7 linked regions of the Ovis aries genome follow. The protein of the gene in region 1 binds, or shares a complex with, the protein of each later gene. Links are inferred from orthologs where the notes say so. Each region holds a gene or a part of one and is shown on either strand. Other genes may lie near its edges. The genes, in order: TXNL4A, LSM7, SNRPD2, SART1, USP39, PQBP1 and LSM5.

Region 1 (4,270 bases):
AGATAGCATATTGAAAAGCAGAGACATTACTTTGCCAACTAAGGTCTGTCTAGTCAAGGCTATGGTTTTCCAGTGGTCATGTATGGATGAGAGAGTTGGACTGTGAAGAAAGCTGAGCGCCAAAGAATTGATGCTTTTGAACTGTGGTGTTGGAGAAGACTCTTGAGATCCCTTGGACTGCAAGGAGATCCAACCAGTCCATTCTAAAGGAGATCAGCCCTGGGTGTTCTTTGGAAGGACTGATGGTAAAGCTGAAACTCCAGTACTTTGGCCACCTCGTGCGAAGAGTTGACTCATTGGAAAAGACTCTGATGCTGGGAAGCACTGGGAGCAGGAGGAAAAGGGGACGACAGAGGATGAGATGGCTGGATGGCATCACGGACTCAATGGACGTGAGTCTGAGTGAACTCCAGGAGATGGTGATGGACAGGGAGGCCTGGCGTGCTGTGATTCATGGGGTCGCAAAGAGTCGGACACAACTGAGCGACTGAACTGATACTATTTAAATTTTACGATAACAATATGACCAACCTAGACAGCATTTTAAAAAGCAGAGACATTACTTTGCCAACAAAGGTCAGTCTAGTCAAGGCTACAGTTTTTCCATTAGTCATGTATGGATGTGAGAGTTGGGCTATAAAGAAAGCTGAGCACTGAAGAATTGATGCTTTTGAACTGTGGTGTTGGAGAAGACTCTTGAGAGTCCCTTGGACTGCAAGGAGTTCCAACCAGTCCATCCTAAAGGAGATCAGTCCTGGGTGTTCATTGGAAGGACTGATGCTGAAGCTGAAACTCCAATACTTTGGCCAACTGATGCGGAGAGCTGACTCATTTGAAAAGACCCTGATGCTGGGAAAGACTGAGGGCAGGAGAAGGGGAAGACAGAGGATGAGATGGTTGGATGGCATCACCGACACAATAGTCATGGGTTTGGGTGGACTCCGGGAGTTGGTGATGGACAGGGAGGCCTGGCATGCTGCGGTTCATGGGGTCGCAGAGTCGGACACGACTGAGCAACTGAACAACAAAAAATGTTTAGAAATACTAATTTCAATAACTTATTTGGGGGGCATTTGCGTCTTACCAGTACTCTTCTGTTAATGAACCGCTTTTCACAAGTAAAGCAACTGTGCTTGCGTCTGGAAAGCAGGGCCTCCAAAATAATTAGGGGGCTCTGTGTGGGAGTGAACGGCGACGAGCCCTTCTTCAGAGAGGTTATCCTCTTCGTTCACTCCCTGGTCCCAGTCGCACCGAGGAAACTTGAACGCCGACTCACTGGAGACACAGTAGGTCTGAAGCAGCCGCCGCCTCTAAGACGCTCATGACACTAAACCCACCTTCAGCCCCAGTACCTGAGCGGAGTCCACGCCCCTGCCCGGCCCGGGCGCGCGCACGCACTGGCCGGCGCACACGCTCTGCGGGCGCGCGCACGCACTCGCCGGCGCTCACGCTCTGTGGGCGGGCGGGCTCACTCGCCGGCGCTCTCGGCCTGTGGGAGCGCTCCGCGCCCGGAAGGACTGCTGAGCGGGAGGGTCCGGTGTGGGCAGAGGTGGGTGCGCGGCTGGAGACGGTGGGAAGGGGGCGGCGAGTGATGCGCGGGTGTGCGATTCCAGGGGTCCCCTCGCCTTGGTTTCTTGGCCGGGGGACAGTGGCGTTCCTGTGGCGGGATCGGGGTCGGAACTTGGTAGACGCGGGCCTGGCCCTGCGGGCGGCGCATCGACTGCCCCTCGGGGTGAGCCCCCGTGAGCCGGGGGCTCCGTGGGCTCCGTGGTGAGGCTCCGTGGGCTCCGTGGTGAGGCTCCGTGGGGTGGGGCCCCCGTGGTGAGGCTCCGTGGGCTCCGTGGTGAGGCTCCGTGGGCTCCGTGGTGAGGCTCCGTGGGCTCGGTGGTGAGGCTCCGTGGGCTCCGTGGTGAGGCTCCGTGGGGTGGGGCCCCCGTGGTGAGGCTCCGTGGGGCGGGGGGTCCCGTGGGTGTGCCATGGGGGGGCTGGGAGGAACTGGCCGGTGATTTCCCTCCACTCCCCCGCAGACCCATTGGCTCAAGATGTCGTACATGCTCCCGCACCTGCACAATGGCTGGCAGGTTGATCAGGCCATCCTTTCGGAAGAAGACCGCGTGGTCGTCATTCGATTTGGGCACGACTGGGACCCTACCTGCATGAAGATGGATGAGGTTCTGTACAGCATTGCTGAAAAGGTAAAGCAGCCACACCTCCCGTCACGTCCTGCCGCCAGGTTTGGTGTTTGCATCCTGTCGGATTGCTGTTGTTTTGCCGGTAAGAATTAAAAGTACAGCCAGTTCACCGGTTAAAGAGAAGCAGTAGGATTCACAGAAGTACAGACATACCTTGGAGTATGAGGATGGGCTCCCTGAAATTGGTCAGAATAGCTTATATCCTTACTGGCAGAAGTTTCCATAGATTCTCAAATTTTTAAGAGGTTCATGATGTCTCTCCTTGAAGAAGTGATTCTTATTAATTTATAGCGGTTTTAACTCATAGGTGTTTTCAAAAATTTACATCTATAGTGCCAGGAGCAAAACACGTTTGCAGCATTTGGCTGAGTGTAGGAGCTTACTTTGAATGGCTTAGTTTAAAAAACTTGACTTTTTTTTGGTACCGTGTTTGTTTGTTGTATGTATTGAGCAGAACATCTATGGTAACAACATAGTAAATTCCCTTCTTTTTCTTTGAGTCCCTTCTTTACCCCAGGGTGCTCTTTGTAAGTGACTTGATTTATAGCTTAGAGTGATACCAGTGTAGGAAACACTGGGAAAAGGTAGAACTGTAATGTTAGAACTAGTTTTCCTAATCCTTAAATTTAGTACAGGGGGTTGTCTGTGGCCCTTTGCTGACAATAAAGAGCAATTGTAGGGTACTGTTGAGTAACTAGGGCTTAATTCTCTTTCTGTAATTGTCTCATGGGTATTTTAAGGTAAATTTGATTTAGATTTTTGCAACTGTAGTAATAGGGCAAGAGGCAAAAATATTAGGGTATTAATAAAAAGTTTAATATTCAATGTTAATTTGAGAGGTTATTCATTTTATTAAAGAGTATAAAAATAAGGGAAACATTGAAGCCATCATTTATTTCACAGGAGTAAGATATGCTAGTATGGGCTGGATTAAAATAACTCCTTTGAGTAAAGAGTAACAGGTGTAAGGATATAGTTTGTATTTAGGAATTGAAAAGTAGTCTGACCTGCCATCAGTAATTTTCACTGTCTCCTCTTTGGTAGGACAGGCAGAGTGAGGTAGGGGTGATGGCACTCTGAACATTAGGGACTATCTTTCTGTGTCTGTCACCGAAAGTGCATCTCAGAGAGTCTGATCCTGGAGATCTGAGATGAGATCCAGAAGCTCCCCCAGGAATTCTGAATCCCTTCAAGGAGATCCAAGTCAGAGCAGGAGTCTGTGGTGATAACCTTACCCTCCTCTTCCTCTTGGACAGAAAGGTGTTGAGGGAGCTTGAAGAGATGCCTGGGGAACTCAGGAGAGCAGGGTTCTTCCAATTGGGTCCTCCCTGTCAGGTCCGAGGTCAGGAGTGAGGTGGTGCCCAGAAGTCATTTCCCCATGACTTGAGCCACAGTGGTTAAGGGCAGAGACTGCAGAAGTCAGTGATGATGGATGAAGACCCTGTTTCAGTAAGTGAATCACTGCTGTGTGGACGCTGATGTAACTTAGGTGGGTGTTCTGGGTTCTGCCTTGCAGGTGACAAGTAAGCATCAGGGGATGTCCAGACCCGGTGGCCCTCAGCACGAGGCTAGAATGGCAGAGGCGTGAGGGTTGTTTGCTGTTCATATCTGAGCAAAACTCAGCAAGATACTCTTAGCTAGGAGACAGATTTTGTGTCAGTGTAAGTTTTTAGGGACTTTTACCAGAATTGTTCTTTTCTAATCCCTATGTAGCGGTCAGAGACCAGATTGCTATACTGCTAGCAGGTGGCTCTTTTTGGAATGGAACCTGTTGGTAAGAACAGTTTAATTGGGCTCACTTGGAGTATTTTTCTCTAGTCTTTTAAGTGATTCTTTTTCTTTTATCCCGATTTCTATTTTAATAAACTTCTAATACTATGTAATAGTATAGTCTTTAAAAATGCAAACTTGAAATGCGTTACACAAATGTTAATGTTCTATTTTCTGCTTAGTGTAAGGGCAGAATATGAGTTTATAATTTTGGAAGCCCTTTTTGGGGACGTTCAACAGGAATTTTTGAAATCTAAGGTTTTAGTATAAAGAACAATTTAACTGTCTATCTCCCTCTGCAGAAATGG
Region 2 (2,159 bases), on another chromosome or scaffold:
GGAACAAGGCCAGGAGAAAGCCCTGCTCCTGAGGACAGGGACTGGGGACGTTCATGATGATGGCCTGGGGTCGCCGGCTGAGGGGCAGGGGTGGGCTTGTCCTCTGAGATGAGCGGGGAAGAGGTTTAGATCACCTCTGGGGTCGTGGGCCAGGTGGACAGCAAGGCTCCATCTAGTCTGTTCTTTGTGGGGTCATGGCTGTGCTTTGTGGGGACATGACAGAGTGGACCCGGCTCTGCAGGACCCCTCGGGCCAGAGCATAAAGGCACTGAAAGGATAGGACCTGCCGCTGAGAAGGCTGGCTGGGGTGTGCACAGAGGCGGTGATCCCTGGGGGGGTCTCTGCAGAGGCAAAACCCATTCCCCCGCCTGCACTATGCATGCTTAGTCACCACCAAGTCCCCGGCCAGCGCTCAAGCTCTGCCAGATGAACCAAATCCCCAGGTCTGGGTTTTGCCAGAACACCAAAGCTGAAAGGAAGATTCCAGGGCTCCTGGACACTTGAGGTTTGCAATTTTATTAAGAAAACAAAATGTAAGTTATACAAAAAAGAGTTCCATTCGGACGGGTGGCCAAGTCAGGGGAGCAGTGGCCTGGCTGCTAGGCATCCTGCTGCTGGATGAAGGGGTTGGGGATGGCCTCCATGCCATCCTGCGGGCAGATGAGCACCACCGAAGTGCCCCTGCACACCACCAGGCCCAGCTGCCGCGTGTCCTCTGTGAGCTTGTACTGATCGTCGGGGTCTGTGGGAGAAGAGGGGCGGCAATGAGGCAGTGTGGGAAGGTGCCCAGAGATGTGCCTGGGTGGGAAGAAGTGGGGTGTGGGGGCTGGGGGGAGGGAAGGCAGGCCAAGCTCCCACCCCCCACCTCCGCTTCCCCCAGCCCATTGGCAGCTTCTCTGGAGATGGATGGAGAGGCTCAGGAAAAGCTCTGAAACAGCCCTGTGCAGCCTGCCCTCCTTCCACAATGAGAACACAGCCCTGGGGAGATGGACCGAGTGCTCAGAGGGGTGGTGGGAGAAGAAAAACCCATCTGCAGGATCTGGGAGTTCCTAGAGGGTCACCATTCACCCTCACACCAGCGGGCTGTTCCCAGTGGAGGGAAGTGACAGCGCACGGAGGCGAGCTTACTCTCAGAGATTACTGCGTGACGGGAGAGGCTGAGTTGGGGTGCCACTCCCCACTCCCAGGCCCTGCAGGACGACAGTTGTCCGAGCCTGCCCATTCCCTCCTGGAGCTGCCGGGATGGGTCTGGCTGGCTCTGGGCCTGGGGCTGTTCTTGGGTGAGGAGAGGGCAAAAAGTCGCTGGACCAGCAAGCCAGGACCCCATGTAAGTGCATGGCACACACCAGCTCATGTGGTTCTCCCAGCAGCCCCACGGGGGTGAGGCTGTCCTTTTTCAGAATGTCATCTGCCTGAGGAGGCTGGGCCAGGACCCCAGCAGCAGGACTCTGGGTAAACCCCGAGGGAAGAGAGAAAACAAGGGCAGGCAAAAGGCCCTACAGGGTTGCTCCTCCCACAAAGAGGGCCTCTGCCTGGTGGCTTCTGACACTTGTGTGTGGCCGCATTTACTCTGCACCAGAGTAATGTGTACTTCAACATCGACAGTCCCTGGAGGAGTGAGACCCCCTTCTCTCCTGAACCTGGGGGCTCCGTCGTGCAGCACTCAGGCTGAGCTGGTGGGTCTGGGGACTTGTGGAGACGGGGACAGGAAAGGAAGGGGAGGGGACCCTTTGTCAGCAGCAGGGAGTAGACAGATAGAGACAGCAGGAGAGAGGGGGCAGGATGAGGCCCCTGGAAGCCAGCTTTATTGTGGCAGGTGCAGCACCTTTCTAGCCCCACCAGGCAGACTTCAACTCCAGCAAGTGCTGAGGGTCGGTGACGAGTGAATCCGGAGAACACTCTACCCTTGAAGTCCTGAGGTGACAGTGTACTGAGCCCCACCAGGACAGTGGCAAAGCAAACACACTTGTCAGCAGTCTGACCCACTAGGCGCCACATTCACGGTGGCTCAGCATATGGGCGGCGGCCTAGGAACAGTAAAGAAGGCCTTACTGCTCGGAAGGATGCTTCCGAGCCCTGCAGCTGCACTCACCTCGCATGTACTCGATGGTGCCGTCCAGCACGAGGTTGAGCAGCGGGTCGAACCCTTTCAGGATTCC
Region 3 (3,983 bases), on another chromosome or scaffold:
TCTTACGGGGTAACCGCTATTACAAAACAAGCCCGAAGCCTCATTGCATTGGAAAGGGGTATGCGCTCTAAGAACGGAGACGGCGGCACCTGCAGCTAGGGCCATAAGGTAAAGACAAAGCCAGGTTAACCCAACCTAGGGTCTTCCCCATGAGACCGTGGGGAAGGGGAGGCAAGGAGTAAGGGCTTCCGCAGTGCCCATGTCCCCGCCCGTCCTCACCCGCAGTTCCCGGCCCAGCGGCAGCTCTTCAGTCTGGCTATGCCAGCTGCTCCAAATGGTATAGAACACCAAGGCTACTGTCAGAGCCAGCAGCAGCTGGGGCAACAGCTGTGCCCGCGGTATCAGGCGCCGCTTGGGCGGTGAGGGTCGCTCCAAAAGGCTGCGTTCCCCGACCGGGAGTCGGGGCCGCCCGCGGCCCCCGGAACGCATGGCAGCTTGGCCCTGAAACCGGTCGGAGACGGCGGATAGAGTTAAGGCCGAGCCAAGTCCCGCCCCATGAAATAAGCCAGACCAATGAACAACAAGAGCGGCTGCACCATCCGCCCCCCCCACGAGCAGTAAAGCAAATGGGACTTTCGGCCTGAGGACGCGGCTCCTTGTCTTCAGGGAGCTTTGGGGGTTGGTTCCCCCGGGTTGCACAACCCAAAAGGGAGAGCGTAAGAAGTAGGCGCCGCCTCAGCGCAGGAGGGGAAGCCAATGAGAAGCGTTTGATCACCGAAAACACTAGCCTTACTGGGCGCAAATCCACGCCGCTCCCGGATGGACCCTCTCCCCGGTCCAGAAAAACCAATATACACGTAAATCAACAGTTTCCGAAGGAAAGGGGAGGTGCCCATCCCTGAAGCGAGGAGGGGATTGGCTTCGCCAAGGCCGCGCCCCCAAAGGCAGAGCGGGCGGGCATTTGGAAATGGCTAGTATTCCCCTCTTTCAACCTATGCGGTTCTGCAACAAAATGGTTTTAATCAGTCCCGCCTTCTTTTCCTCTCCATGGTCGTGAATATCTGCCCAGCACTGTCTTGAATGGTGGCCTGGAGCTACTTACTAAGTAAGGCTTCTACTCGGCAGCCTCCGCCGAGGGCGGAGATCGCTATAGCAACGGGCCACGCCCCACTCGCTGGTTGGGTATGCGCAGGCGCGCGCGGAAGTGGGCCGTAGGAAGAGGAAGTCCCGCCTCTGGCTCTCTGTTCGGGAGGCACACCACGGAGGAGACGGTAGTGGCTTGAAAACGCGGTCACCATCATCATCATGTGAGGCCGGGCTGGGTTTGGGTGGCGGCAGTGGGATTGAGGGTGTAAGTTTGGCCACTTACCGGTTGAAGTGGGTAGGCAGAAGTGGGCGCGGAAGCAAACATTTGGGGGTAAAGTGGCGTATCTTTCTACTGATGAGTTGCGAGGGGACGTGGGGCCTTTGAAGGATCCTGACTTCGGGAGCGGGGACAGCTTTATCAGATAACAGGCTGGGCTTTCCCAAATAAGCAATCTTATTGAAGTGAAGTTTAAGAGGAAGCGTTTTTACGAATTAAAAACCTGGGAGATGAGGAGTACGGACTTGTAGGAAAAGCGGTCTTAAGGTAAGAGGCGTAGCTGGAGACAATTGGCTTTTCGATCACATCCGCCATTGGTATGGATAACGAGTTATGGGGATGATTTTACTTATGTAGTCACTCAACAGTTATTTATTGAGTTGTTTGTGTATTAGGCTGCTTTAGACGCATAGCTTATATCACTGAATTACTCCACTCTCCCCAAGGGAAAAAAAATCCTCTTCTACATCTTACGGGATGGGAAGAGGCAGGCAGGAAACGTGCTGGTAATAAATCCGTAAATTCTAGAATGTGTTAGGGAATAGGGTTTTGAATAAAGAAATAACAGAGCAGGGTAAAACAGCGTGGAATGTCTCTTGTGAGAGACAGAACGCATGAAGGAGGCAACACTTGAGCAAAAACCTGAAGAAAGTGAGAAAGCAAACTGCAAAGGTACCTGGGGACGTACCTAGGCAGAGGGAAAAGTGAATAGAGGGGCCCAAGAAGGTTTGCCTGATAGCTTCAAGAACCACTGAAGAGGCCATTGTGCCTGGAACAGAGTGAGGGTAAAAGCTGGGCTTTACTGTTTACACTGAGAGGGTACTCAAGAGTGAGATGATTCTTGACACCACCCTTGAGACTGCTCTGTGGAGGGCGAACTGTTGGGGAGCGTGGGTGGAGGCAAGGAGACCTAGGAAAGATGATGGAGGTTTAAGCCAAGGTAAGAAATTCAGATTCTGATAGGTTTTAGTGGCAGATGGCAGGATTTGCTGACAGATTGAATGTAGGATGTGAGAGAAGAAAGAGTCAAGTTGCTCAAAGAACCAGAGGGATGGAGTCACCACTGACAGAGATGAGGAAGGCTGTGGATAGTATTAAGTTGGGGTTATGGGGGGTCTGGAGTTCAGTCTAGGTCATGCGAGGATTGGAAATATCCATTAGGCATCCAAGTGGTGATAGCAAGAGAGAGGACTGAGTACGAAGAGAGGGATATGTGTCGGGGAGACACCAAGGGAGAGGCCATGAGCACCCAGGCTATGGGCCTGCTCACCTCTGGGTTCCATACTTGTCTTTTCAGGAGTCTCCTCAACAAGCCCAAGAGTGAGATGACCCCAGAGGAGCTGCAGAAGCGGGAGGAGGAGGAGTTTAACACGGGGCCGCTCTCCGTGCTCACGCAGTCAGTCAAAAACAACACTCAAGTGCTCATCAACTGCCGTAACAACAAGAAGCTCCTGGGCCGCGTGAAGGCCTTCGACAGGTGAGCACCAGGGTCTGGGGAGGTATGCTGTCCGGGCCTCAGTTTCCTTACCTGTGAAATATGCGTCATAATAATATCCCTCAGAACAGTAATGAGGCTTCAGTAATACTATGTATGAAAAGCACTTGGCTCAGTACCTAACACATGATAAATGCTCAGTAAACACATGCAGCCTTTAGTTAGCATTTGGGAAGTGCTTTCCTCACCGTAGATTACTATATAGCAAGATACAGAGCTTTCCCAATTTTTTTCTTTTCTTTCTTTCACTCAGTCATAGTTCCCTGTATCCTCCTATTCCTTTGTGTGTGTGCATGAGGGCTAAGTCACTTTGGTTGTGTCTGAATCTGTGCAGCCCTATGGACTGTGGCCCACCAGGCTTCTCTGTCTATGGGATTCTCCAGACAAGACTACTGGAATGGGTTGCCATGCTCTCCTCCAGGGGATCCTCCCAACCCAGGGATTGAATTTGCATCTCTTATGTCTCCTGCATTAGCAGGCAAGTTCTTTACCGCTAGAGCCACCTGGGAAGCCCCCCATCCCTTTACCTTGCGTTAGTTTTTCTTCATAGCACTTACTACCACCTGACAGTATATTACAGGTGTGTTTGTTTACCTGCTTCGTGTTCTCCCTTCACTAGCCTGCAGAGCCCATGAAGACAGGGCTCTTACCTGGTTTTTTTTTCATTGCTCTAATCATTGTAAACGTTTGTTGACCGAGCTATTCCACACTGTCATCACACATGCCCATAAGAAAAATAGTGTGTTGATTCACTTAATTTTCACAACAGCCATAGGAGGCAGGCACCATGAATGTCTCCATTTTAGAGACGAGGAAACTGAGGCGCAGAAGGTGAAGTCCTTTGCCCGAGCCTCGGAGCCCTGGCTCTCCCCCTTCCCAGAGGCAGTGCCGCCCAGAGGAAGGGTCAGGACACACCCCTCACTCAGTCCTGCTGCCTCCCCGTCCCCACCAGGCACTGCAACATGGTGCTGGAGAATGTGAAGGAAATGTGGACGGAGGTCCCCAAGAGCGGCAAGGGCAAGAAGAAGTCCAAGCCAGTCAACAAGGACCGCTACATCTCCAAGATGTTCCTGCGCGGGGACTCTGTCATCGTGGTCCTGAGGAACCCGCTCATCGCTGGCAAGTAGGGCCTCCTCCCTGCTGTCAGAACTTTCCCCCTGGTTTTGCGAAGACCTGCCCTCTGTA
Region 4 (3,933 bases), on another chromosome or scaffold:
CCCCAAATCCAGACCAAGAGTTGAGTCCCTGAGATAAAAATTAAATGCTTTGTGGAAAACACGGTGTGGGATTTCTGGCGGTGGTGGGAAGTGGCTGTGGGTTGGGAGCAGGCCGTGGCAGGTGGGTATGCAGCACGCTTGGCTTGTGCTCACATCCCCCAGGAACCCTGGCTGTTGCGACGGCCCCCGCCCAGCACACACGGCTGTGTCTCTGCCCAGAGGAGCGAGTGGGGCATCTCCCAAGAGCAACAGCTGCAACTCCTACCAATGCTGGGTCCTGGAAATTCAAGAGTGAACAGGACAGAATGCCTTCCGCCTTTGGGAACGCCCAGTCCTGTGGGGGAGGGGGCGGGCCTTTAAAAGGGCGCATAATCACACCCTAACAGATGGGCTGGCAGATCGAGCAACTGGCAAGTGGGGGTGTCAGGAGGAATTGTGTGAACTGAGCTTTTAACTACAAGTTAACAGTCTCCTCAAAGGAAAAGAAAAAGAAAAGCTCACACACACACGGATGTGCCAAATTTTGCATTCGATTTCAGGGGGTTTACAGATACACAGAAGCTCAACTCGACCTCCGGGGCAGTCGCAGAGCTCAGGTTAAAAACCCAATCCAAGGAGCGTGGCAAGGCAGCGTTGGCAGACAATACTAGATGTAGGGGTTGGAAGGAAGCTGGACTGTGGAGCTGGGGGCCTCGGGAGAACATGCTACGTCGTTTAACACCCGATGGAGCCACGACCCCAGGCAGTACACTAGGAGGACGCCACTGGAGAGGTGGACCCTGCCCAGAGACAGTCCGTGAGCCAGTGAACATCCGTAATTGAGGGTGTGAAAGCGGAGGGAAGCCGGGAAGGGGCTTCCAGCTCTGGCGATCCTGGCTTGGATGGTCCCTAGGTCCCATTCTGGGATACTGTCTTCCCCAGACCCAGTGGCGAACCTTGAGGCGCGCATGCGCAGTCGGCCCCCCGGCTCAAAGACCGCTACCCCGGCTAGGCTGGCTGCGACTGCGCAGTCGGGTTCAGATCCCGGCCTTCCCATGAGCCTTTGGGGCAGGCTCCGAGGCAAACGACGGAAGCAGCCGCTCTTGGTTTCCGGCAACAGGACACCGGCTGTCGGGCGACCCGGAAGTGTTCCCATTTTGCGTCGTCGGGGCTCGGCGGCGGCCGGGCTCGGGGTTAGACAGACCACCATGGGGTCGTCAAAGAAGCACCGCGGGGAAAAGGAGGCGGCAGGAACTACAGCAGCGGCCAGCACCGGGGGCGCTACCGAACAGCCGCCTAGGCACCGGGAGCACAAAAAACACAAGCATCGGAGCAGCGGCGGCGGCAGTAGCGGCGGCGAACGACGGAAGCGAAGCCGAGAGCGTGGGAGCGAGCGCGGGAGCGGGCGGCGCGGGGCCGAAAATGAGGCTCGCAGCAGCACGCACGGGCGGGAGCGCAGCCAGACAGAGCCCTCCGAGCGGCGCGTGAAACGGGAGAAGCGGGATGATGGCTACGAGGCCGGTGAGGGGCCTGTGCAGGGGGCGGGGCGACCGGAGGTGCCTCGGGTATGTGGGCTCTGGGTATGGAGGCCGAGCGCACCAGGCCGAGGCATCCTCTGGCTTTTTCGTCAGCACTTTCTAAAGGGTCTTCCTATGGCTATTTGGGACTGAAGGTTGTCTTTCTTTGTTAAACTCTCTGAGGGTAGAGATTTTCTTTGTTTTCCTCACGACCCCTCCCTGAATGTGTTGAATGAATGAAGCGATGGTAGCATGTGCAGAGGCAAGAACAAACATGTTGTCAAAGTTGTGTAGAGTTCATAGGAGAGACAGCAGTCTGTAAGAGAGACACGGATCTGAACACTAAGGGCCATATAGGCCCTGTTAAGAAAGTGAAACTTGTTTTGAGAGGAAGCCATGAATTTGAACTGACGAGTGAGTTGATCACATTCATATTTTGCAAAGATCTGGGAGAAGGGCAGTAGAGACTGGAGGTGAGATGAAGGCTGATGGTGGCCTGCACCGAGGCATTAGCCATGGGATGGAGAGACGTGGACAGATTGGAGAGGTGTTTTGGAGGAGGAGGTGATGGAGCTTAGCATTTGGATGAGGGCTGGAAAGAGAAGAAGGAATTGAGGGTGTGCCTTGAATTTTGACTTGAGCAACTAGTTGAGTGGTAGTGATCTCTGCTGATGTTATCCTGGTGGTTCAGTGGTAAAGAATCTGCCTGCAGTGCAGAAGACAAAAGAGACAAGGGTTCTATCCCTGGGTTGAGACGATCCCCTGGAGGAGGGCATGGCATCCCACTCCAGTATTCTTGCCTGGAGAATCCCATAGACAGAGGAGCCTGGAGAGCTATAGTCCACAGGGTGGCAAAGATTTGGACACAACTGAAGTGACCGAAGCACACATGCACAGTGCTGTCGACTAATTTCAGGAGTTTGGAAGAGAAACAGATTTTTGGAGGGAGACAACCGAATTCCGTTTTGGAGAGTGTTGAATTTTATGTGCATGGAGAAACTCAGGGCTTGGGCTGGATAGAGCAGTTTGGGAATCATGAGTGTTTAGGTGGCATATGAAGTCCACTGAGAGACTAGGAGTAGGAAGCCTACTGGTAGGAGAACCTGATAAATGCTAGTGTCTTAGTATTACGCTGAGCAGGAGGCTACGAAAAAAGGAGGTAGGCTGTCCCCCAAAGCAGGAAAACCATAGAATCTCGTGTCAGGGGATCTGTGGGAGTGATCATCTGTGTCACACACTGCTGGAGACCAGATGAAAACCAGAGCTGAAAAGAATCCTTGGGGTTTTGAAATAAGGAGGCTGGTGATCTTGGAGAGAGCCTGGAGTGGTTGGGATTCAGAGTTCAAGTGGGATAAGGTACAGAGGTAGGTTGTGAGGCGAACATGCTGGAACGATGAGCTGTGGTGGCGCCTGGTAGGGGCAGCTCCGTCTGAGTCCGAATCTGACTTCTGCATGTGGTGTTCAGTGAAGTCACTTGCTGTTTGTGAGGTGAGTAGAGGATGTCCTAAATGCTCCTGTATCTCAGTGATCTCAGCAACATTACAGAAGAGGCTCCAATAAGTATATTTCTTCACTGCATGAATTACACAGAGGGCATAGTTATGCTGCCAAGATGGTCCCTACCCTGTGAGGAGAAGCAGGTCCAGAAATGACTGTGGCAGTGTTGTGCAGAGGAGAGCAGGTCATGCTGATCAGTAATGGAGCAGGACTCCAGGGAGGAAGTGGGGTCTGATAGGATTTTGTTAACAGCCTGAGGCCAGAGAAGGCAGTGTAGGTTGAAAGCACAGGATACGCAAAAGTGGAGAGGTGGCGAAGTGAAGGATGTAGAAAGCTGGACCCTTTGGATCAGGAAAGGAAGGTGTGGGGAGAAGCAGCGTTCTCAGAGCCTGGGACTCGGATGGAAGGAGCTCCTGGTTGGGGGGAAGCAGGCCGAGGTGCTGACCTCGTCTTCGGCCCTGCACCTGGAGCCAGGGCTGCGGCTCCTGGGCCCAGTGCTCTGCCCCTGAGCCTTGCTGCTTCTTGTTCCAGCTGCCAGCTCCAAAACTAGCTCAGGCGATGCCTCGTCACTCAGCATTGAGGAGACCAAGTAAGTCCTGTCTCCTTTTCATTTCTGTGTTTTCTTGTGGGACAAGCAGCTTCTGGGGTAGCTGTCTGGGGAGGCTTTCGCGTAGTACATGTTCTGATTGAAGTTGGAAGTGTCATGTAAATCATCCTAGCCAACCAGCTGAGTTCCCGAAGTGGACTCTGAGGCCCAGGAGAGCATGGCCTTGCCCTGGCTAGGGGGCAGGCCAGGCCTTCCGGCTGATTGGGAGGCCGGTGCTCTTCCCACTGCTGGGTCAGGCCCTAGGTTTGAGACCCTTCGGACCACTCAGTCCCTTCCTGTTTTCTCCCCCTCTTTGTCCAGAAATGCATTTGGTGCCCCCATTTCTTGGACAGC
Region 5 (3,224 bases), on another chromosome or scaffold:
AGTGAAGTAAGCCAGAAAGAAAAACACCAATACAGTATACTAACACATATATATGGAATTTAGGAAGATGGCAATGACGACCCTGTATGCAAGACAGGGAAAGAGACACAGATGTGTATAACGGACTTTTGGACTCAGAGGGAGAGGGAGAGGGTGGGATGATTTGGGAGAATGACATTCTAACATGTATACTATCATGTGAATTGAATCGCCAGTCTATGTCTGACGCAGGATGCAGCATGCTTGGGGCTGGTGCATGGGGATGACCCAGAAAGATGTTATGGGGAGGGGAGGTGGGAGGGGGGTCCATGTTTGGGAATGCATGTAAGAATTAAAGATTTTAAAATTTAAAAAAAATAAAAATAAAAAAAAAAAATAAAATAAAAGGCAGGAATAAAAAAAAAAAAAAAGAAAGATCATAGGGGAGACAGTTTGTGAGGACTCTTTTTAATCCCCCCATAGGCAGAAGCCCAAGGGAATGATATGAAACAAGAGGCTGGTTTAAAAACAGGAAAATATTTAATCCATCCCAAAACACATATCAAGAAATGAAGAGAGCCACAGGAAAATTACCTATGATGGAAGAAGGGTGTTACTGGCTTCAAGCTCTAATTCCCATAATCCTGAGGCTTTGATGCTTCAAAGAAACCCATCTAGTCCTTTAGTATTCCTGGCTATTCGGAAATAAATTACATACATCTGTAAAAGAGTTCTGGCCTGCTAGAAGGGAGCTAGCCAGGGAGAAGAAAGGGGCACCAATCTACTGCAAATGATCAAAGACCAGCTGAGTGACAGCACGGAGCCATCCGAGGCAGATGGACCACTGATGCTCTGGTGAGAACCAGAACACAGGGCTGGCTCAGGGGCTTGTGCCATCCACCTGTGCTCAGAACGACGTCAGCCAAAGCCCCTGGGAGCAAAGTTCTAAACACCTCCTTCATGCCCCCTGCTGGTTGGTTTCATCATTATCTCGCCTCTTCCAAATCTGTAAGAAATGAATACAATGGATACTTAGGAGCCTGTGTTCCATCCACAAATATTTATCATGCACCTAAATCTGTGCTAGGAAATGAGCAAACTATCATCCCAACTGTGTATTTGCTAAGTCCCCTAAAACTAACTCATAGTCTTTCAAAAAATTCCCTTTCATTTAATTTTCACTCTTCTATCCATCCTTCTCTTCCCATTCCAAACTCCTTTTCTGAAAAAGGACCAACAGTCAGGCCTGCAACTTCAGACAAAGAGTTCTCCTTGGAACAAGCAGTATCTCTCTCCTTTTTTTATAAAGCTGTGGCCTTCTCTTAGCCTCAGTCTTCCTTCTCTGCAGGGACTAGGACCGTTAGAAAGAGAAGACAGGGGGACTTCCTTGCAGGTCCAGTGGTTAAGACTCTGTACTTCCACTGCAGAGGGCATGGGTTCGATGCCTAGTTAGGGAAATAAGATCCCATATGCTGCACGGTGTGGCCATAAAGTAAAAATTTTTTAAAAAAGAAGAAAGAGAAGATAGAGGCCCTCAGTTCCATGAACTCCCAACACAGTGGAGAGGACAGTTAAAACATGTAGCTGCTGTTCCACAGACATGGGACAGTGCTGTGGGGTCACAAAGAGTGCTGACTTTGCCTAGGGAACTGGGGAGAGCTTCAGAGATGACTCCAGATGATTCTGAGCTCTTCCTCCTTGAAATCAGACCACATATTTGAAAAACTGACCTGGCTGACCACACACAGAGAGAACCACCTTGCTCACTCATAACTCGTCCATGCTTTCCTGTCCTCCTCTTCACTGAAGATCACTCCTGGCCCCGCCTCACTCCCCACTACATGTCAAAAGGCACCCAAGCTAACTCAGTCCCACGCCCTGCCTTCACCCTCAACACTTCTCTCACCAGCCCCCACACCCCATCACCTCCACGCTCATCGAGTGAAGCCAACCCACCTGAATGTAAGCCTCCGACAGTGTGATCATCTGGGGAAGGATGTCGGTCACCTGGAGGTCCTGTAATTCATACCATTTGCCTGTCCCCTGCAAGGAGTATGAAGGGCTAGGTCAGTTTGCTCCCGGAAACCAATAGAGTTTTAGAGGTAAAGAGATGCAGCCAAAAGCTAGAAAAGTCAGAACAGTCACTAGACCATCACCCAGCAAGAGTTCTAAGAAAGAAAGTATAAGGCCTCTGCTGGGCATCATTCAATGTCAAGAGCTTTTAGGGTGTTGATCTTGACAAACAAGTCCTGCTGAGGACTCCTTAAAGCACAGTGGAGTCTCAAACACTGTTCGTCTTTTAGGAAGAGACTAGGAGGATAACACAGAGAAAGAAGAGGAAGCCCCTACTCCTCACCTGAGATGCCTGGATTATGGCAGAGATACTTCTGGAAGCTCATCTGCCTCATCCATCCAAACTTTCAAGAAATGCCAAAGACAAATATATTCCGGTTATTCTGGATATTCCAGTAGCTCAAATAGGATACACAACAAAAGCTCAGGATCCCATAATGAAAATCCCTATTCCTGGTGCGAGGACTGGTTAATAAGAATACAGTGAAACCTAGTATCCAGGTTCCAATGTCAACTCTTCTAACTTCAGATCAGTTATTCCAACTCTAAGCTAGGTTCCTCACTTGTAAAAAGATGGTATTAACACCTGTCTTGGAAGTGTGTTTAGGGATATAAACAAGATGAACATACATGAAGTATGTGGCGTACTATCTAGCACATGGCCAAGTGCTTGACAGATAGAAGCTGGTTATCATTAAACCCAGATTCTCAGAAGACTCATCAAGTTAGAACAATTTGTGCCAGTAATCTGTATGATACCAAATACATCCTAAGCACGTTTCCCCCATTTTCAGCAAATTCACAAAATTTTTTTTAGCTGAAAGGGAACCTCTCTACCAGTGCTTTGTAAACTTTAATTTCATACCCTTCAGAGGGTCTTGTTAATCAGTAGACTGTGATTCAGGAGGTATGTGAGGGGTCTGAGATTCTACGATTTCTAACAAGTTCTCATATGATGTCAATGCTGTGAATCCAAGGCACTTTTGGTGGCAGGTGCTAGTCTAGGACAGTGCTTCTCAATCTGGCTACATACTGGAAATCTGAGAATTTTAAAACTATCAAGATGCCTGGGTCTCACCTCCAGATAATCTAATCAAGTCTTAACTCCAACATTTTGGACCAGAAAACTCTTTGCTGCCTGTGGGGGCTGCCTGTGCATTGGAAGATATTCA
Region 6 (4,244 bases), on another chromosome or scaffold:
AAGCTGAAACCCTAATACTTTGGCCATCTCATGCAAAGTGTTGACTCATTGAAAAGGACTCTGATGCTGGGAGGGATTGGGGGCAGGAGGAGAAGGGGACGACAGAGGATGAGATGGCTGGATGGCATCACTGACTCGATGGACATCAGTTTGAGTGAACTCTGGGAGTTGGTGATGGACAGGGAGGCCTGGTGTGCTGTGATTCATGGGGTCACAAAGAGTCGGACATGACTGAGTGACTGAACTGAACTGAACCCTTCACAGGAAGGGTGAAGTCAGAAGTTAGCTCTCCCTCCCCACCCGCATGTCGTCAGGCTCACCAGGAAGGGTCAAACACCTTGTACCAGCTTGGTGGCAGGCCCTCCAACCGGGTAGCCTCATAGTCCACAGGATCGTCATCATAGTCCTCAGCAATGATCTCTTCCTCTGGTTCTGGCAGGACAAGGAAGGGAAGAGGACAGCAGTAAGAACCAGGGAGATTCCCATCCTGCAATCAGGGCCTGGAGAGACACACTCACATTCACGTGGACTGTGTGTGTGTGTGTGCATGCCAGGTCTCACATGCCAGAGCAAATACTGCTCATGTTCCAAATCCAAGTATCTGAATATCAGGATTTACCAAAAAAATTTACTCAAATCTGTTTACGGGTACTACTACCCAAACTTATCTGGTTTCATACTTTAGACAGGGATACATTTTTTTTAAAAAGTATCCATATTTATTCAGCTTCTGAGTTCAAATAGTATGTGACACTGTATTATGCAAATTTGAATAAAATGAGTTTCAACAGCAAGGGGTTTACCTAAAAATATGTCCAAATCTATTCAGCTTCCACGGCTGGCAAATATGGGGTTTCTGACTCCTATATATTGACTAGCAAGTTTGGACAGCAAGGGATTTATCCAAACACTTCTCTGAATCTGTTCAGTTCCTGATGCCTGCAATAGTTGTCAGTTACTATCAACAGAATAAAGAAAGGTGTATGAGTACTTGGACCTCAGTAGTCCTATCACAGATTTCACCCATGGATATAGTTAACAATTAAATGTATATGTCAGCAACAGCATAGTGCCTGTCACACAATAGGCCCCAAATAGATGTCAGCTACAATCATTAATATTGTTAGTAAGATACATACAGTTAGTACAGGGCCTGGTAGCAAACAGCCTTAAAATAAATACCATATCAGTATCATTATCAATATTATTAATAACCAAAGATCTTTGGCATACAACAGGCTTGTAATAGGTGTCACTTATCAATAAAGTGAAAATAAGATGAGTTTTCTAGTACCTGGCACACCTTAGCCCAAAATAGATGCCAGCTTTTACTATTATTGATAAATAAGGTATAAATACTAGCAACAGCAGCACAGTAGGCCTAAATGATAGATCCTATCATTACTTTATATACTGTTAACCACAGTGTATGATAAGCACTTAAGAAGACTCAAAATACATGTCAGCTATTGACATGGTGAACAATAAGGTATGGACAACTCACACAGTGCCTAGTTCCACAGCAGGTCTGAAATAATGTTATCTACTAGTATGTTACAGAACAAAGTATCAGCACCCTGCGACTATACTTGGCCGACAGGAGGCTGCCATAGGTGTCAGCTTACTATTACTATCCTTATTATACTTCCAGGAATTAACTGATGGGTTAAACTTTGGCTACAGAAGACCCCAAAATACACATCAACTGTCAGTGTTAAGGACGAAATGTCTATTCCATACCCCACCTCCCCTCCTCCTCATAGGACAGGAATAGGGGTCAGTAACACGTATTGTTGGGAATCCCTGGTAGCTCAGAGGTTAAAGCATCTGCCCGCAATGCGGGAGACCCGGGTTCGATCCCTGGGTAGGGAAGATTCCCCTGGAGAAGGAAATGGCAACCCACTCCCGTCCAAGTATTCTTGCCTGGAGAATTCCATGGACGGAGGAGCCTCGTAGGCTACAGTCCACGGGGTCGCAAAGAGTCGGACACGACCGAGCGACTTCACTTTCACTTTCTTTCACTTTCAACACGTATTGTTAACAAGGAAATGCCTGCCACCCCACTGCTTGGTGCACAATAGGCCCATGCTAGATATCAAGCGGCAGTATCCGCAACAAAGTGCCTGTCAAGTCGGGCACATGGTAGGCCTCTCTTCTCTTAGTTCTCTCACCAGGCTCCAAATGTTTGAGGATGCCTCTCTTGGCCAAGCGGGTCTGCAACGCAACAGGCAGCGGCATAGCGGATGGCAGACAGGCCTACGGAAGGACAGACAGCCTGAAAAACAGCTCAGATGAGGACTGAATCTGGTTACAAGAGTAACCAAGGGCCTCCCCGCAGCATGTACTCAATCTGGACCCCCATCTACACTAGGAGGGAAATAGACCCTACCCGCTGAAAGGTGGAAGGGGTTGTAAACAGCAATATCACCAACACTCTCACCAACTCCGCTCTCCCAGGCCAGTGGCTGCAGCACCGGGTTCCCGTCCTAGGCCCAGGCTCCGCCCAGCCCAAGGGGCCATGCGCGGCTCCCCCACTACCCAAAATGGTTTCACCCAACGTCCCCCAAAGACTGCTGGGTGGGAGGAACCAAAGCGTTGGGATGGGGGAGCACAGTGTAACACCTCCTCCAGCTCCAAAAAATGCACCCACCCCAAATTACCAATACAGTCACGCAAGTAGTGGACGACTTTCCAACTGGCCACCTCTCTCTCGTCGTCTCTATGAGCGCCAGGACCACACGACTCTCTTCTCCCAAAGCACAGAATGAGTTTCTCTCTCCCCGAGCTTAGACGTAACTGCACGACGCTCACGCAGTGAAAAGATGACGCAAACCTACCTAGCCAATGAGAATGCGCTTTGATCTGAAGTCTGGCGAAACAACAGAACCGTTGCCCTGGGATAGGTGGAAAGCTCGGGCGCTTGTATACGTTTCCAGTGGAGGTGTGGCCCGGCCAGGGTTTAGCGATACTGCGCGGCCGGACGCCGGCGCCATGGAGGAGTATGCTCGGGAACCTTGGTACAGCGAGGGGCATAGGTGTCGGGACTGTTGCTGCGGCGCCACGGCCAGCGGTGGGAGGCGGGTGGGGGAGGCACGGGCCACACAGCGCCACGTCCCAGACTCGGAACACATTTAGATTTTTGTTGTCTTCTGCTCCTCTCCACTTGGTTTCTCTTACTCGGGCTCCGTTAAAAGGGGCCACAATTGTGTGCCTGCAGAAGAAGGTTTGGTGCAGGACGGACCACTCCACGTTTTCCTTGATTCCGTACCTCCCAGCCCCTCTGTTAAAGACACGCTGGTCGAATCCATTCCAGCCAGGGGGTGGTGCGGTGTTGAGCGGGTATCCCCTGGAAAAACGCATGGTTTTTCCCAGGTCGCTTTGGTTAATGCTGGCGGGGCCTGGATGAGCCTGACCATGATTGTGGTCATGGAGGGGTGATGGGTCCTCCGCACTCTATGTGCTTGATTTTCCCCAGTTGTGCGAGGGTGAAAAGGGAAGAGGACGTGGCTTTGTTGGACGTGCTCATTATCGGAAAAAGGGGTGCTACCCCATTCTGCTTAAGGAACAGTGCCTGCAACACCTGTAGCGTAATTCAAACGTGCCAATTCTTTAATTAATGCCCTCTCATTAATTCATTTAATCTTTGACAGTAGTCAACCAGTTGGTTGATTCCCTGGTTGGCTGTGAAGGGGAGGGGCGGACAGGGCCAAGACTGATGTTTTCCCCTCTTCACATTATTTTTTGCTTAAATGAGGGGAGAAATAATCCCAGTATTATCTGAAGTGCTAGTTCTCATTTGGGTGACGTATTGCTCCCAGTTGGAAAGAGATCTTGTGACTTGGCATGAGGGAGCGCTCACATTAACCTCATCCTCCCCTTCCCGCTTGCAGCCCATGGCGAATTGTGGATGATTGCGGTGGAGCCTTCACTATGGGTGTTATCGGCGGTGGAGTCTTCCAGGCCATTAAGGGCTTCCGTAATGCCCCTGTCGTGAGTCCTAGCCTTCCCTGGGTGCTGCTGAGGTCCTGCCCTGACCACATGGGATACTGTTCTGAAACTGCTTGGAACTGCCAGTCACGTGCACTTATTCATTCTGGTGTCTGCTTACCTACTGTGTGGCAGGCCTAGCTCCAGGATCTGGGAGTTTGGGGGAACTGCAAACATGACCTCTGACCCTCACCCTGCTGGAGCTCCTCAGAAATGCTGTGCTGTCAAAAGGGTCATAAAACCAAAACCTAATTGTG
Region 7 (4,272 bases), on another chromosome or scaffold:
AGGAGGAAAAAGTTTAAAACTTAGTACCACATGATCTAAAAACCCCTACTGAGAGCTCACTGACTGGTCATTGATCAGCCTTTGCCTCTCCCTCATATTCCCATTTTCCCCATGTCACCTCTGTTTACAATTCCAACAGTATCAATTAATACTTAGTGATTTAATGTTTCAACAGTTAATTCTTGGTAAAATAAATGATTAAAAAGCACAAGCAGGGACTTCACTGGTGGTGCAATGATTAAGACTCCATGCTCCCAATGCAGCGGGCCCAGGTTTGATCCTTGGTCAAGGAACTGGATCCCACATGTTGCAACTAAGTAAAGATCTTCTGTGATGCAACTAAGACCCAATGCAGCCAAATAAAAAAATAAATAAATATTTTAAAAATACATAAGATAAAAGGTATAAACAAACTAATCTTAGGCCTAATGTCATCTTCAACAGTTTGGCCACAGAATCCTGATCAGCAGAGCATTCCCTTCCCACCCTAAGCACCACTGGGCCAAGAACATTGAGTCAATCAAGTCAGTTCTGTAATCCCTGCCCCACAAAGATGGCTTAACATCTAAATAAAAGACCTTCACTGTCTTACCATTGTTATATTATTTCCATTTAGCAAAATTTGATCTAATTTAGTAATTCTTCTTCCTTCTGGTGTGATTTCACTAAACAAAAAGATTTTCAAAAAGTCAGGATAAAGAGTGATAATCAAAGCCAACATTCTGATCCACCAAAAGGTTAGTTACTATATATAAATGAACTGTACACTTTCCAGAGACAAGGTTATCCCCATGGTGATGTCAATTCTCCAAAGGCAAGAGAGTGGACTGACTGGCCTAAGACCCACATCCACTAGTGCAGATCTTCATCTAAAAAACTGAAACTTACCAAGGAGATCAAATATGAAATAAAATGTTTATATATATATATATACACATAAGTTTTAGAGTAACTAATTTAAAACATTAAATGTTTTTATTATAAGTTCCTTTATTTGATCTGAGCGCTAAGATCCCTGGCTGCTTTTAGTATCTTTTACCTTAAACCTTTGTCTCCACTAACTTCCTAGCAATTAGTGACAATTAAATTATGGTAATAATCCTCCAATCCAATTTTACTAACATCAGTAGGTAAACTTTCTCTCTTTAGAGTAATTCAAACAGGCAGTGTGCTCTCCTACATCCTTTTACTGACTCAACAGCACTAAAACTGCCTTAAATCAAACAGAGATTCCCCCTACCCATTCTTTAATTTTTAACACTACTCACAATTCAGTGACATCTTCCAATACCATATCTGAAATTTGGTGTTAAGAAAATAAACATACCAAATTAAATTTACTCTGGCTTATTTCTTTGTTCAGTTTTAATTATAACATTGAATACAATGGCTCAAATGCAAGCTGCGTGCAATTGGTAGGAACTTCATCTTTCAGTACCACAATCCCTTAAAACACTATCACAATTTCCAAAAAAATAAATTAAACTTTATTATAATAATCGGTAAGTACTGATAGTCTATAGTTCTTTTTTAAAAATCTGAAGAAAAATCCATACAACCACCTTTTAAAAGGATACTGACAAAGTCATCAAATCCCAGAAGTGTGCCAACAATCTCTTTATCACTCTTCATCACAATGTGAATTCTTGATCCTATACACTTGTCCACAAGCTCTGCAGATAAGGGCGGGAGAGAGAAGATTAGTTTGCCCATTCATAACATTAACAAATATTTGAATGCCTACTGACACTTGTTACATGCATATGGTGAAAAGATAAGCCAGGAAAAGTATTCACTCCAAAACTTTAGACCTTATGTTACATATCTCTGTTCAGTCATTCTATTAAAAGGACAGTTTTCCCTCCCTGTTATTCATTTAACCCTCCTTTGTAGCAATTTATCATGGTTGTAGTTTAATACTATTTTAGTTATCTGATTAACATATGAACGCCCCTCTTGACTCTAAGCTGAAAGAGAGCTGAGAGGTGGTTTTTACTCATCAGTGTATCCCCAGTGGACAATGCCTGAAATGTACTGGTCATTCAGAAGAATTTGTTCCAGGATGGAAAAAAACCTTTACAATAACTGCCACATCCACTAACCCGATAACCCTTCAAATATAAAATATTAAGGGGAAAAAAAAGGCAGAACTGTCTTCACCAGAGATTCCTCCTTGTCATTAAGTCTATGTCTGCCCTGTATCCTGTTTCCTACACTGGTTTGTATGCTATCTGAAGGTAATGGCCGTGATTTAAATTTGTTGAACAGTGCCCAATCACAGTGTCTAGTGCACAGATGGCGCGGTAACTGCTTGCTGAATAAATGAGTAACAAGAGCTAGTTTTCAGAGGCCTCTTTAAAGGCTCATTCCAGACCCAAGTGCCTCACTCAGAAACCAGCCAGACAGGATATAACCCGGGTAGTTTAAAAGCCCGGTTGCGGAATGGGCCTCTTACTATTATAAAGGCGAGCACCCAACAAAGAAGGTCAACGACACATTCACCAAGACTGAACCTTTCCGGTGAAGGTTTGGGGAGTCAAAAACCCCTGCCTCAAGAAGACTCCCCCACGCCAGAGAGACTTGTGCGGCCTCAGGCCGCCGAGACTTGGAGCCTAAAGGAGAGCTGCAGAGAAAGCTACGTTTTTCTAACACTCGGTCAGGGACTGCCTTGCTCTTCGGCCCCAACCCTAACTTTCAACTCCCCGCCCCGGCTCCCCAACAGGACAAAGATTACCTAGAGGAAGCAGCTGCGACGGGTTAGTGGTAGCGTTAGCCGCCATGGCTACGCCGGAAGTGGCCTGCCTCTATCGACGTCGGAACGGCGAGTTTGAAAGAGCGCGCTTCCGCTTTTTTCCGGCCCAGGCAGGCTCGACCAATCTGAGGCCGAGAGTGCGATTGAGGAGATCCAGCCACTTCTTTATCCTGCAGGGAGATTCTAGAAAGTGTTTCTGTTCACTGAGCGTTCTAGGTTCTCCACAGATAACTCGCCTCTCCAAACTTCCAAGAGACTTTAGAGATCTCCGGTCTTATAAATAAGTTATTTCTCTAATCCGGAAGCCTGCGAAACGGAAGCCTTTGTGCTGTCTTATTTCCCCTTATCGAGGTGTGTCTCATATCAACCCAGGATCTTTCTTCGACCAGAATCAATAAATTTGATTTTCCCGCCACCGATTCATTGTGTTGCAATTTTCGTTAAAAAAAAAAATCTACCGCTTCTTTTAAAAGTTTGATGATTTGAAAACCCACAACTAGCATTTTTAATAAAGTTTGTTGGGCGAGGGGGAAATTTTAAGTATGTTTTCTATTTTCTACTATCGTTTTCTTTTTCTATTTTTCTATTCTACTTTTTCAATTTTTTCCATTTCTATTGTTTTCTATCTTCTACTATCAGGAGTTGGTGATGGACAGGGAAGCCTGGTGTGCTGCAGTCCATGGGGTCGCAAAGAGTCGGACAAAACAGTGACAGAACTGAACTGTCCTTTTTAATCTTGTAATATCTAGGAGTCTGCTATACATTTTGTATACACTATTTCTTCCACAGTCCAACAGGCAACCACCAGATGTCATTCTATGTTAATAACATCACATTTAGGAAGCCTTGCTGCTTTTACGCATCTGTTTTGAAAAGAAAAAGCGAACAAATTTTTTGCGTTGGTCTATTTTATGTTTATATCTGAGGAGCTTAAAGCTAAAGAGTTTAAGCAGGAAAGGCCAGGAAGGACATCATTCATTCACACAATGGCTGCAAAGCACCAATCATTCATTCATCGAACAAATACTTTAGTTGAACATTGGCATTTTGCTCAGTATAACCAGCGTAAAGAACAGAACTACAACGTCTTCTGCCCTTATAGGAGCTAAAGGATAAATGGGGGAGAAAGACAACTAGCAAGCATTATGTACAAAGCACGTGGAATTTAATATGTAAAGCAAAAAGTGCTCTTTTAACTTCAGGGATCTTAGTCAATCGTCACATCATTCTTTGGCAAGACAAAGTAATGCCAAAAAAATTTGTTTTCCTATATCTATTCTTGTTTCATTTTCACCATACCATAATGTGAATAGGAACCAAATTCAAGGTATTGTTGCTACCTGATAGAGTTTAAAATTCAAGAAAATAAGCTTTAAGTCAATATCTTGCTTTCCATTACAGAAACCAAATTAACATTCAGCACTATTGATGAAGAATAAAGGAGGTCTTATACTCTGAAAACGGAGATACAATTGTTTACACAGTAGTTAATGGGGATTGCAGGAAGAGGTGTTTTTATT

The links.
Region 2: TXNL4A (region 1) and LSM7 share a complex: the UniProt entries of both Homo sapiens proteins name them as parts of the precatalytic spliceosome. The link is inferred for Ovis aries from reciprocal best matches to the Homo sapiens genes TXNL4A and LSM7.
Region 3: TXNL4A (region 1) and SNRPD2 share a complex: the UniProt entries of both Homo sapiens proteins name them as parts of the U4/U6-U5 tri-snRNP complex. The link is inferred for Ovis aries from reciprocal best matches to the Homo sapiens genes TXNL4A and SNRPD2.
Region 4: TXNL4A (region 1) and SART1 share a complex: the UniProt entries of both Homo sapiens proteins name them as parts of the U4/U6-U5 tri-snRNP complex. The link is inferred for Ovis aries from reciprocal best matches to the Homo sapiens genes TXNL4A and SART1.
Region 5: TXNL4A (region 1) and USP39 share a complex: the UniProt entries of both Homo sapiens proteins name them as parts of the U4/U6-U5 tri-snRNP complex. The link is inferred for Ovis aries from reciprocal best matches to the Homo sapiens genes TXNL4A and USP39.
Region 6: the proteins of TXNL4A (region 1) and PQBP1 are in contact, whole or in part, in a crystal structure (PDB 4BWQ), measured with the Homo sapiens proteins. The link is inferred for Ovis aries from reciprocal best matches to the Homo sapiens genes TXNL4A and PQBP1. Residues at the interface, in NP_006692.1 of Homo sapiens: Gly11, Trp12, Val14, Asp15, Ile18, Asp68, Phe69, Met72, Tyr73, Glu74, Met82, Phe84, Asn87, His89, Met91, Gly97, Asn98, Asn99, Asn100, Lys101, Leu129; in NP_001027553.1 of Homo sapiens: Gln241, Gln242, Arg243, Pro244, Tyr245, Pro246, Ser247, Pro248, Gly249, Val251, Leu252, Ala254, Asn255.
Region 7: TXNL4A (region 1) and LSM5 share a complex: the UniProt entries of both Homo sapiens proteins name them as parts of the precatalytic spliceosome. The link is inferred for Ovis aries from reciprocal best matches to the Homo sapiens genes TXNL4A and LSM5.

The regions. Positions count from the first base shown.
Region 1 is NC_056076.1:701,172-705,441, forward strand, and holds the start of TXNL4A (thioredoxin-like protein 4A), read left to right. Parts: upstream 1-1,470; 5' UTR 1,471-1,549; intron 1,550-2,027; 5' UTR 2,028-2,042; coding exon 2,043-2,195; coding exon of another isoform or gene 2,196-2,274; intron 2,275-3,905; exon of another isoform or gene 3,906-3,966; intron 3,967-4,264; coding exon of another isoform or gene 4,265-4,270. UniProt on the Homo sapiens protein: Plays a role in pre-mRNA splicing as component of the U5 snRNP and U4/U6-U5 tri-snRNP complexes that are involved in spliceosome assembly, and as component of the precatalytic spliceosome (spliceosome B complex).
Region 2 is NC_056058.1:19,036,616-19,038,774, reverse strand, and holds the end of LSM7 (U6 snRNA-associated Sm-like protein LSm7), read right to left. Parts: coding exon 2,093-2,159; intron 743-2,092; coding exon 600-742; 3' UTR 501-599; downstream 1-500. UniProt on the Homo sapiens protein: Plays a role in pre-mRNA splicing as component of the U4/U6-U5 tri-snRNP complex that is involved in spliceosome assembly, and as component of the precatalytic spliceosome (spliceosome B complex).
Region 3 is NC_056067.1:53,040,971-53,044,953, reverse strand, and holds the start of SNRPD2 (small nuclear ribonucleoprotein Sm D2), read left to right. Parts: upstream 1-1,183; 5' UTR 1,184-1,245; coding exon 1,246-1,247; intron 1,248-2,600; coding exon 2,601-2,780; intron 2,781-3,750; coding exon 3,751-3,925; 3' UTR 3,926-3,983. Other genes in the region: QPCTL (glutaminyl-peptide cyclotransferase-like protein), read right to left, coding at 220-429. UniProt on the Homo sapiens protein: Plays a role in pre-mRNA splicing as a core component of the spliceosomal U1, U2, U4 and U5 small nuclear ribonucleoproteins (snRNPs), the building blocks of the spliceosome.
Region 4 is NC_056074.1:40,495,673-40,499,605, forward strand, and holds the start of SART1 (U4/U6.U5 tri-snRNP-associated protein 1), read left to right. Parts: upstream 1-1,133; 5' UTR 1,134-1,187; coding exon 1,188-1,500; intron 1,501-3,524; coding exon 3,525-3,582; intron 3,583-3,933. Other genes in the region: TSGA10IP (testis-specific protein 10-interacting protein), read left to right, coding at 163-295. UniProt on the Homo sapiens protein: Plays a role in mRNA splicing as a component of the U4/U6-U5 tri-snRNP, one of the building blocks of the spliceosome. May also bind to DNA.
Region 5 is NC_056056.1:57,493,290-57,496,513, reverse strand, and holds the end of USP39 (ubiquitin carboxyl-terminal hydrolase 39), read right to left. Parts: intron 2,023-3,224; coding exon 1,936-2,022; intron 986-1,935; coding exon 938-985; 3' UTR 501-937; downstream 1-500.
Region 6 is NC_056080.1:56,175,740-56,179,983, forward strand, and holds the start of PQBP1 (polyglutamine-binding protein 1), read right to left. Parts: upstream 2,801-4,244; 5' UTR 2,651-2,800; intron 2,489-2,650; exon of another isoform or gene 2,390-2,488; intron 2,276-2,389; exon of another isoform or gene 2,257-2,275; 5' UTR 2,239-2,256; coding exon 2,172-2,238; intron 795-2,171; exon of another isoform or gene 433-794; coding exon 321-432; exon of another isoform or gene 1-320. Other genes in the region: TIMM17B (mitochondrial import inner membrane translocase subunit Tim17-B), read left to right, coding at 2,992-3,017, 3,891-3,990. UniProt on the Homo sapiens protein: Intrinsically disordered protein that acts as a scaffold, and which is involved in different processes, such as pre-mRNA splicing, transcription regulation, innate immunity and neuron development.
Region 7 is NC_056057.1:65,578,937-65,583,208, reverse strand, and holds the start of LSM5 (U6 snRNA-associated Sm-like protein LSm5), read right to left. Parts: upstream 2,801-4,272; 5' UTR 2,781-2,800; coding exon 2,735-2,780; intron 1,674-2,734; coding exon 1,578-1,673; intron 1,297-1,577; coding exon 1,269-1,296; intron 666-1,268; coding exon 593-665; intron 1-592. UniProt on the Homo sapiens protein: Plays a role in pre-mRNA splicing as component of the U4/U6-U5 tri-snRNP complex that is involved in spliceosome assembly, and as component of the precatalytic spliceosome (spliceosome B complex).